Nothobranchius furzeri: one gene and its partner. The protein of the gene in region 2 interacts with the protein of the main gene of each other region in a biochemical or structural test. Links are inferred from orthologs where the notes say so. Each region holds a gene or a part of one and is shown on either strand. Other genes may lie near its edges. The genes, in order: metalloproteinase inhibitor 4 and mmp2.

Region 1 (4,456 bases), on a different chromosome or scaffold from region 2:
AAATAAGAAATCCTGCAGTGTTAAGCTCTCCTCTGATGTGGCATTCTGCTAGTTCCTGAAACAAGATCATCTGACACCCCCCACCCCACACACCCACACACACACCTAAGCCTGATTTATGCTTCTCCGTCTGCGTCAGTGCGGAGACACGCAACGCCATTATCCGTCCTTGCGTAGGGCATGCAAGTACGTATGGAGTCGAGCCCACTTTTTTAAACATCCGTCGAACGAGACGGATTACGCAAGCTTGTGATTGGTCAGGACGCCGCTGTTGTTTACAGCGCCGCCATTGCAAAGAGAGCCGAGGATAACTAGCGGCAGACATGGAGAAGCTTGAAGAATACCTCGCGAAAAAACTCTAAAAATATGAACGTTTAATTCCCCAGTGACTGGATGAGTGAAAAGATGCGCAGCAAGCATTTTATTTGTGGATTTAAATGACAGGAAACGTGGGTTTAGAGGTGGGGAGTGCATGAAGCGGTGGGAGAATGAGAGACAAATATGTCCGTGTTAAAAGTCTCTTATATACACAAAAAACACAATAAAAACACACGATCTTGGACAGATACACGACAGGATACCACAGAACAGCGCTACGCCCTCTGTTGTCCTGCCAGGCAATTGCTTTGCAACACTCTCCAGGAGACGGAGAAGTATGAGAGCAAAACGCTTCCGTCAATCCGTGCGTGTCTGTCCCTTGCGGAGCTGACGGAGAAGCGTAAACCAGGCTTTCCAAGGCATTCATTCCTACTAGAGCCCACTGCAGATGTTTTAATTAAACAAGTGTTCAACACCTTTTAAAACTCAAACAAAGCTGTAAAATGAAAAAGTGCAACTATTTCAACCCAAGCATTGGATGGAGGAAGATGGAGGGTTTAAGTGTAACATTATTTAACAGTTTGTTTTAATTATTTGAGTAGAACAGTCATATGTAACTCAAATAAGGACAGAAATCAATGGAAACAGTAAATTGAATTTCAGTAACCCATCAAACTACAAAATTCCATGTTGCTTTGTTAAAAAACACATATCTTTGGCAGCTGGGTGGTTAGCATCCTGACCTGCAGGCTAGAATCAAACAACTTTGCTAATACTATTTTATTTTTTGTGACTGGTGCTTGTTCTTATCTCAAATAAATTTGAAGCTTTAAACGTGCACGCAGCAACATGAATACATGGAGAAGATGTAAACAAACAGTCTAATTTTAATTTTACACAAATGTTTCTTTCTCCTAAAAAGCAATTCTTGTTGCGTTTTGTTTGTGTCACTAACTATAATTTCAGATACATTCACTCCTGTGTACTAAAAGCTTTAGCATCAATAAATATAACATGTAGATCTGTTTAGCTGCACTCAATGAGTCAATAGGTTACGGCTGAGCTTTCATGGTTCATATGACTGTTTTAAAGACAGTTTGGACACAATACTCAAGAATCACAATTGTGATGAAACCCTGATGGTATCTAAGCTCTCTGAGGTTGTTTTGTCACTGATCTAATCTCACTCAAGCAGGCCTAAAAATTAGAATATAACCTCCAAACACCAAGGCTCATAATATAATTCAGATTAATCATGCTTGTCTCAGTCATGAATGACACAATTCATGTGTTTGTGGCTCTCATTGCATCCCATTAGCCCAGATTTTACTTGGCTTTAGTCCTCGTGGTAGAAAAACAGGCCCTGTCTTCCATTCCATGCAGACTCATTATTAAAAGTCTTTTGAAATTGCGTACCACCTAAACCTAAAGGGAGACGGAGACCAATTAAAAAACAAGATGGAGAAAAAGTAATTTCTTTCTTTTGGCTCCGCCCCCTTCTCCCCTGCTGGAGTGTAACCTCTGACAGGAGCAGATACTCTGGCTTTCCACAACCCAGAGCCAAGTACTCTGAGTCAAAGCAGAGTGTTGGTTTTGGCTCAAACAAGAAAGAACTGGATGGGAGTGTTTTTGGGTGGGGGGGGTGGGAGGGGGGGCACTCTGGTAGGCAGTGTTGTACAGATTGAGGTTGTTTTTAAAGCTAATGACACACAAACTGTTTGTTCATAAGTCTTGCTAGTCTGTAATTTGAGGAACACCCATAAATTATGATTAAATTTCATAAAGCTACAGTTTCAAGGAATGAAAACCCCCAACAGTTCAGCTCAGCGGATTTCTTCTTAGTGCTTGTTATGGATTGGTCCTCTGCTCTCCATTGACTGAATTAAAGTAATCAATGAGAGAATCGGTTTTACGATAATTAACTAAGACAATGAGGAAATACTCAGCAGTGTTAGTAAAAGTTAATGAATCTTTGGAGAATGACTCACCAATCTCAGCGCTGCAAAATAGCTGCTGTGGGTGTGCTGGGTGGCAGCTACATCCCTCCACAGCTTCCTCCACGCCTGCTCCAAGCAAAAGGAGCATCCACAGCCCCAGATGCACGCTCCGTTCCTGGGACATGGCCATGACAGCTCTGGCTACCTCTGATCGCTTCTCCACTTGATGAACACTCCGCAGCCTCTTCTCTTCCCGTTAAGTTTAATGGAAGTCAAGTCAGGTCGATAGTCTGCAGAGGGGCTGTGTGGAGGGTGAGACGACGGGGCCGAAGTGACAGGGCGAGCTCTGCAGAGCTGAGAGGCGACAGTGGATAGAAATGTTTTCATAAGTTTAGAGTACAACTCTGAATTCAAGCTGCAGCAAATAACTCGAGTTGAAGGCTGCTGCTGCTCCCGCTGCTGCTCTCTTCTCCTGTCTTTCTTTCTGTCTCCCCCTCTCTGTAGACAACACACAGAGACTTACAATAGTTAGATCCCCTCTCACTCTGGCCTTGAATGCTGAGAGGGTCGCACACAGGGAGCCTCTTATGTGCTCAACAATTTAAGCACAGCCTCCTAAAATGCAGAGAAAAAACCTGGCACCTTCTTTAGCTCTCTTTTAAAACTCTTCATCTCTTCTCCCCTAGAAAACTCTTATCGGCCACAATAAACTCATCTAAGACGTATCTGTTCTGCAGGTTTAGGGTTCATCTTGCATTAAAGCCTATAAACATTAAAACTGTAATTGTATTTATCTGAACGCCATACTTTTGATTCATTTGTTTTAATGCTAGCAAGAATTACAAAGCCCCTGTTTCTTATTACAGCACATTTGTATTTTTTTGTTTCTTTAAAGACTTTTGGGGGGGGGTCTTTACAAACTATTTAGTCTTCAAAGACTTCCAGACAGGAAACATGAGGCTTGTAGCCTCAGGTTCTGAATTCCACTGCAGGGTGTTTTTAGAACATCTTGTGCTTTGCATCTGTTGTGTTTCTGCTGCTTCTCATTTGTCTTTTTCTTTTGTTTTGCAGATCACAACACCGAGTTTCCCGGTAGTGGTGAAGATTGGGCATGCTCACTCTGGAATGGGAAAGGTACTACAATCCAAAAACATGAACAAACTGACATTTACAGGAAAACTGATTAGTTTAATAAACATTTCATGCAGTGAAAGCAGCCTTAAAGTGATCTTTTTTAAATTCATAATAGTTCCATTGTCGATATCAAAGTTCTTTACTCTAAGTTCCTCTCGCATAAAGCAATGTCAGCTTTTTTATTCTTGACAGATTCAGAACCTTCCTGAATGAGCCATTTCAGGGATTGGTCGCTTTAAGAAAACAGGCTGGAACTGACACCCCCCCCCCCCCCCCCCCCAATCCTCCGCTCAGGCTACTATGCTCTGATGCCTACAAGGGGCTGAGAGTAGAGCCTCTGTTCCTCCGACAGCAGCTCCCTCTCGCACATGAGGGATGGTTCTATTCTACTTTCCTCATTTGTGACATCACAAACAGGGACTTTTAGAAACAGTGTGTTTTAGGCACATATTTCCTAAAACCAAACCCCACACAAAAAACAGATGGACAGATTTTTTTGTTTATACTTGGGTTGTTTATAGTGGCAGTAAAAACCCACATGGCCGTACAAAAGGATGAAAAATGTACGTTTTGCATAATATGTCCCCTTTAAAATTTCTATCACTAAAATTTTGTAAAGAAAAAACTAGCGGAAGGAATGTGACTAAAAATCTAGTTTTACATCTAAAACAGTGGCATAGTCTTAAACCATTCCCAAACTCTTTTTACAATGAATGAGTACTTTTTTTAATTATATATCATTTTTCTTTAGGTTCGAGTGGATAATGTGAGTGACTTCCAGGATATTGCGAGTGTTGTAGCCATCACTCAGACCTACTGTACAACAGAACCATTTGTAGATGCCAAGTACGACATCAGGGTCCAGAAAATTGGTGCAGACTACAAAGCCTACATGTAAGTGACATTCAGCGTGTTTCCACTACCGGAACTTCCTGGTGTTCCGACTATCCATGCTACTCGTCGATATGTGCTTCTTTGGGGAAATGTGCAGACCGATTACTACGTCACGGGCTGTTGTCCTGAAGAGACGCCCTACCTCTGGAAGTTGTTATTTTACTGCTTGTTGT
Region 2 (3,817 bases):
GGAAGCCATTAGAATCCGTGCTAGCAGCGGTAGTTCGTTTGTCCGTGAATGCAGAGCGAGATGAATCATGCTCCCGCTGGTCTGGCTCTGTCTTAAGGCTACAGTTTGTTTCTGGTGGCGGCCCATGAGTTTGGTCATGCTTTGGGTTTGGAGCACTCTCAGGACCCCGGAGCACTGATGGCTCCTATTTACACGTTTACCAAAGACTTCAGACTTTCTCACGACGACGTTCAGGGCATCCAAGAGCTCTACGGTGAGAAGAACAAAAGAAAAGTGTTTTCGTCTTTAGAGCAGAGTTAAGAGTAGCAGGCGGTTATGTGTGACTTTTCCCTCCGCTCACCAACAGGAGTACCAACAGACAAGCCGGTATCTCCAACCCAGGGTCCCGTCACTCCAATGGACATCTGCAGGGAGCCGGTTATCTTTGATGCTGTTGCACAGATCAGGGGAGAAACCTTTTTCTTCAAAGACAGGTAGTTTTATGTTTTACCTGAAAAATTGCCTCAAAGAAAAATGAATGTAATGCACGTTGGTGACTTGGTTGCTTGAGTAGTTCAGAGGGATGCTGGTCACTTTTATACTGTACACACAAACAGTGATCAGATTTTTACAACCTAATTACTGTTTTGCACACCAGAGTCTGTTGCTTTAAATGGATGTGACAATCGGCAAACCATTCCTCTGCTTATGCAGTGGCAACCAAAATAGTCATCAATCATAAACACAGTCTACAATCCTGCTCTCCACTGGCGCCAGTCCTCCCAGAGCCTCACAAGTTCATGCAGAGCTTTTGGGTTGTGCACTAGAAGAGATCTCTGATGGTTTGGTCAACAGTCCGTGTAGTTTGTGCGTTTTTCTGCTGGAAGGCTAAAATGTAAACATTGATTCTTTATCATTTTGAGGTTTGCATGTCTGTGTGCCCATAAACCATAAAAACAGGTCCAGAGCAAATACGTCAGCAGACCTAAGCACCACAGGGTCCTGTTCTGTTTATCTCAAGGTGAAACCTGCGGAACACAAACCACACTGTTGCTCACAAATCCTGTTTTACTGCAGAAGTGCTTTTCACCTGGCTTATCCACACATTCACTGTGAGCAGCAGAGCAGCTCGGGAGCTCAGAGTGCTCCACAGACCATGAAGGTTTGGCCCAGTTGTCAGAAATCAAGCTGAGCTGCTATTTAATTCCCTTGAAGGAGTCAGTGGGTTGAGGATTTGGAAAGACACATAAAAAGAAAAGGTCTGCCTTTTCTCTTACTTTCTTGTGACGACGTTGACACGGAAACGCAATAAACAGATGTTTCATCTAAAACTTGCACAACAGTGAAGAGATTGCTTTGTTGCAACAGTGGTGCGTGGCTGTAAATGTCATCATTGAAACGCTCATTAGGAGGAATAATCCGTGAGGATTGTACATTTGTGGCGTGAGCAACACAACCACATGTGTGGGTAGCACATCAACAACTAAAAATACCAAAATCTGCGGGTATTCGCTTACACTGTAGATGGTGTCAGTGGCTTGTGGAAGAGCCAAACACAACCACAACAGTTTAGCTCCTCCCACTCATGCTGGTCACCAGGCTGGTAACTGGGGCAGTGATTAATGTTGCGATGATGATATTGCTTGCGAAAAATAAAAACTTCACCCAGGAACAAAAATAATCAAAAACAAAGAAATAAAAAAATCATAAAAATGAGAAAAGCAAAAGATGTGAGGAAAGGGAAAGGCGTTGTCTTCGTCCGCTTATCCGGGTCCGGGTCGCGGGGGCAGCATCCCAACTAGGGAGCTCTAGACCGTCCTCTCCCCGGCCACTTCCACCAGCTCCTCCGGCAGGACCCCAAGGCGTTCCCGGACCAGATTGGAGATGTAACCTCTCCAACGTGTCCTGGGTCGACCCGGGGGCCTCCTGCTGGCAGGACATGCCCGAAACACCTCCCCAGGGAGGCGTCCAGGAGGCATCCTGACCAGATGCCCAAACCACCTCAACTGACTCCTTTCGATCTGGAGGAGCAGCGGCTCTACTCTGAGTCCCTCCCGAATGTCCGAGCTCCTCACAAGAAACAAGAACGAGAAAAGGCGATCTGTGGATCCCGGGAAAAGCAAAAAGAACAGAGCAAAGCTAACTCAGGTGTTTGCTAACCATCTAAATTAAGTGCCGTCCGCCTCGGGGGCGGGCCTCTAACCTATGAGAACCCAACCAATTGGCCAAATGGGTGAAGAGCTCTATTTGATTTGTTCAAAAACATCATGCTTCCGTTTGATTGACAGAATGCATCATGTGTGGCAATTTATCTGTTCTTTGCGATATGCATATTGTGCATGCTGATGTCGCGATAACGATATATTTACGATATTATGGGGGGCGACGGTGGCACAGGAGTTAAGTGCTCGCCCATAATCGGAAGGTTGCAGGTTCGAGCCCCGCTCAGTCTGTCACTGTTGTTGTGTCCTGGGGCAAGACACTTAACCCACGTTGCCTGCTGGTGGTGGTCGGAGGGACTGGTGGCGCCAGTGCTCGGCAGCCTCGCCTCTGTCTGTGCACCCCAGGGCAGCTGTGGCTACATCGTAGCTCATCACCATCAGTGTGTGAATGTGTGAATGACTGATTGTGTTGTAAAGCGCCTTGGGGGGTTCCATGACTCTAGAAGGCGCTATATCAAATAGAGGCCATTTACCGTTTACCATATTGTGCATGCTGATTTCGCGATAACGATATATTTACGATATATTGTGCAGTCTGTTTGGTTGTGGGACATCTTCCAGTTTTTTGACTAGTAGTTGTTGAAGGTCGGTGTTGGTAACTCCAGCACATGCAGAATATCCAAGATGCCCAGTGGCTGTCATGTAGGTGCCAACCAGATGAACACTGCAGGCAGCAACGGGAGCTTGGAGCAAGAGGGCATGCCACCATGAGAGGATGTCAGTGCATTTGTTGGGGGAGCTGCACAAACATGAATCCGTGCTGCTCCTTCTGCAGATGCACACTCCTGACTTCTAACTTGTTGTAAAGGTGACTCAAGTGTGGTGGAAGATCCATTGTTACAACTAAAAGAACTGAGCAAACTTGCATTTTTACTTTTTGTTGTAAATTTAAAATCAGGAAAATGTCACAGCTGGATTACTTACTACCTTTATCATCTAGATTTGTTTTTGTGTTGGGCTTCTTTTTCCATGCACAGCCTTGTCAAGCTGTTTAACGCGTTAATGCACAAATAAGAAAACAAGTGATATTTTCTTGTGCACAAAATATGTCAGGGCATGGTTTAGAGGACATGCAACATGAAGTAGAGAGCCAGGGTGGCAGCCAGGAGACTTCTTATTTTAAATAAGTAAGGTCAGAACCATGTGCAACAGGTAGGAACGGAGACCGAGCCGGGTTGAAGTAGAACTGAGGAGGGGAGCGAAGACAAGGGAAACAGCTGTGATGATACTGATAACAATGGGCAGGTGTGAGTCATTAACCAGGCTCTTAGGCAGAAAAGCACAAAGACGCTGGGAGAAGCAGAACTGTAGATTAACTAAAGATACAACACTGAAAACCGAAGGTTGGTAACCAGTGGACTGAACTAAAATAAAAACAAGGAGCACAGAACTAAACCCCGGAAGAGAAAATACAAGGAGGGAGGGTGACTGAAATGATCCAATCTAAGGACACTAATAATAGAAATAATCTAAACTGGGCACAAGGTGCAGGAAAACATACGGGGCACCAGGACAGCGGGCTAGGCTGAGGAAGCAGCTAAAAGAATACAGGGGAGACAAGGCTAACAGCTAGTGGACACAAAAGGATGTTCGACACAACCAGAACCATCAAACAG

The links.
Region 1: the proteins of mmp2 (region 2) and metalloproteinase inhibitor 4 form a complex in vitro, tested with the Homo sapiens proteins (2 studies listed by BioGRID). The link is inferred for Nothobranchius furzeri from reciprocal best matches to the Homo sapiens genes MMP2 and TIMP4.

The regions. Positions count from the first base shown.
Region 1 is NC_091743.1:63,393,824-63,398,279, forward strand, and holds the start of metalloproteinase inhibitor 4, read right to left. Parts: upstream 3,096-4,456; 5' UTR 2,446-3,095; coding exon 2,307-2,445; intron 1-2,306. Other genes in the region: syn2b (synapsin-2b), read left to right, coding at 3,327-3,389, 4,141-4,283. UniProt on the Homo sapiens protein: Complexes with metalloproteinases (such as collagenases) and irreversibly inactivates them by binding to their catalytic zinc cofactor. Known to act on MMP-1, MMP-2, MMP-3, MMP-7 and MMP-9.
Region 2 is NC_091749.1:73,111,925-73,115,741, forward strand, and holds part of mmp2 (72 kDa type IV collagenase), read left to right. Parts: intron 1-97; coding exon 98-253; intron 254-346; coding exon 347-473; intron 474-3,817.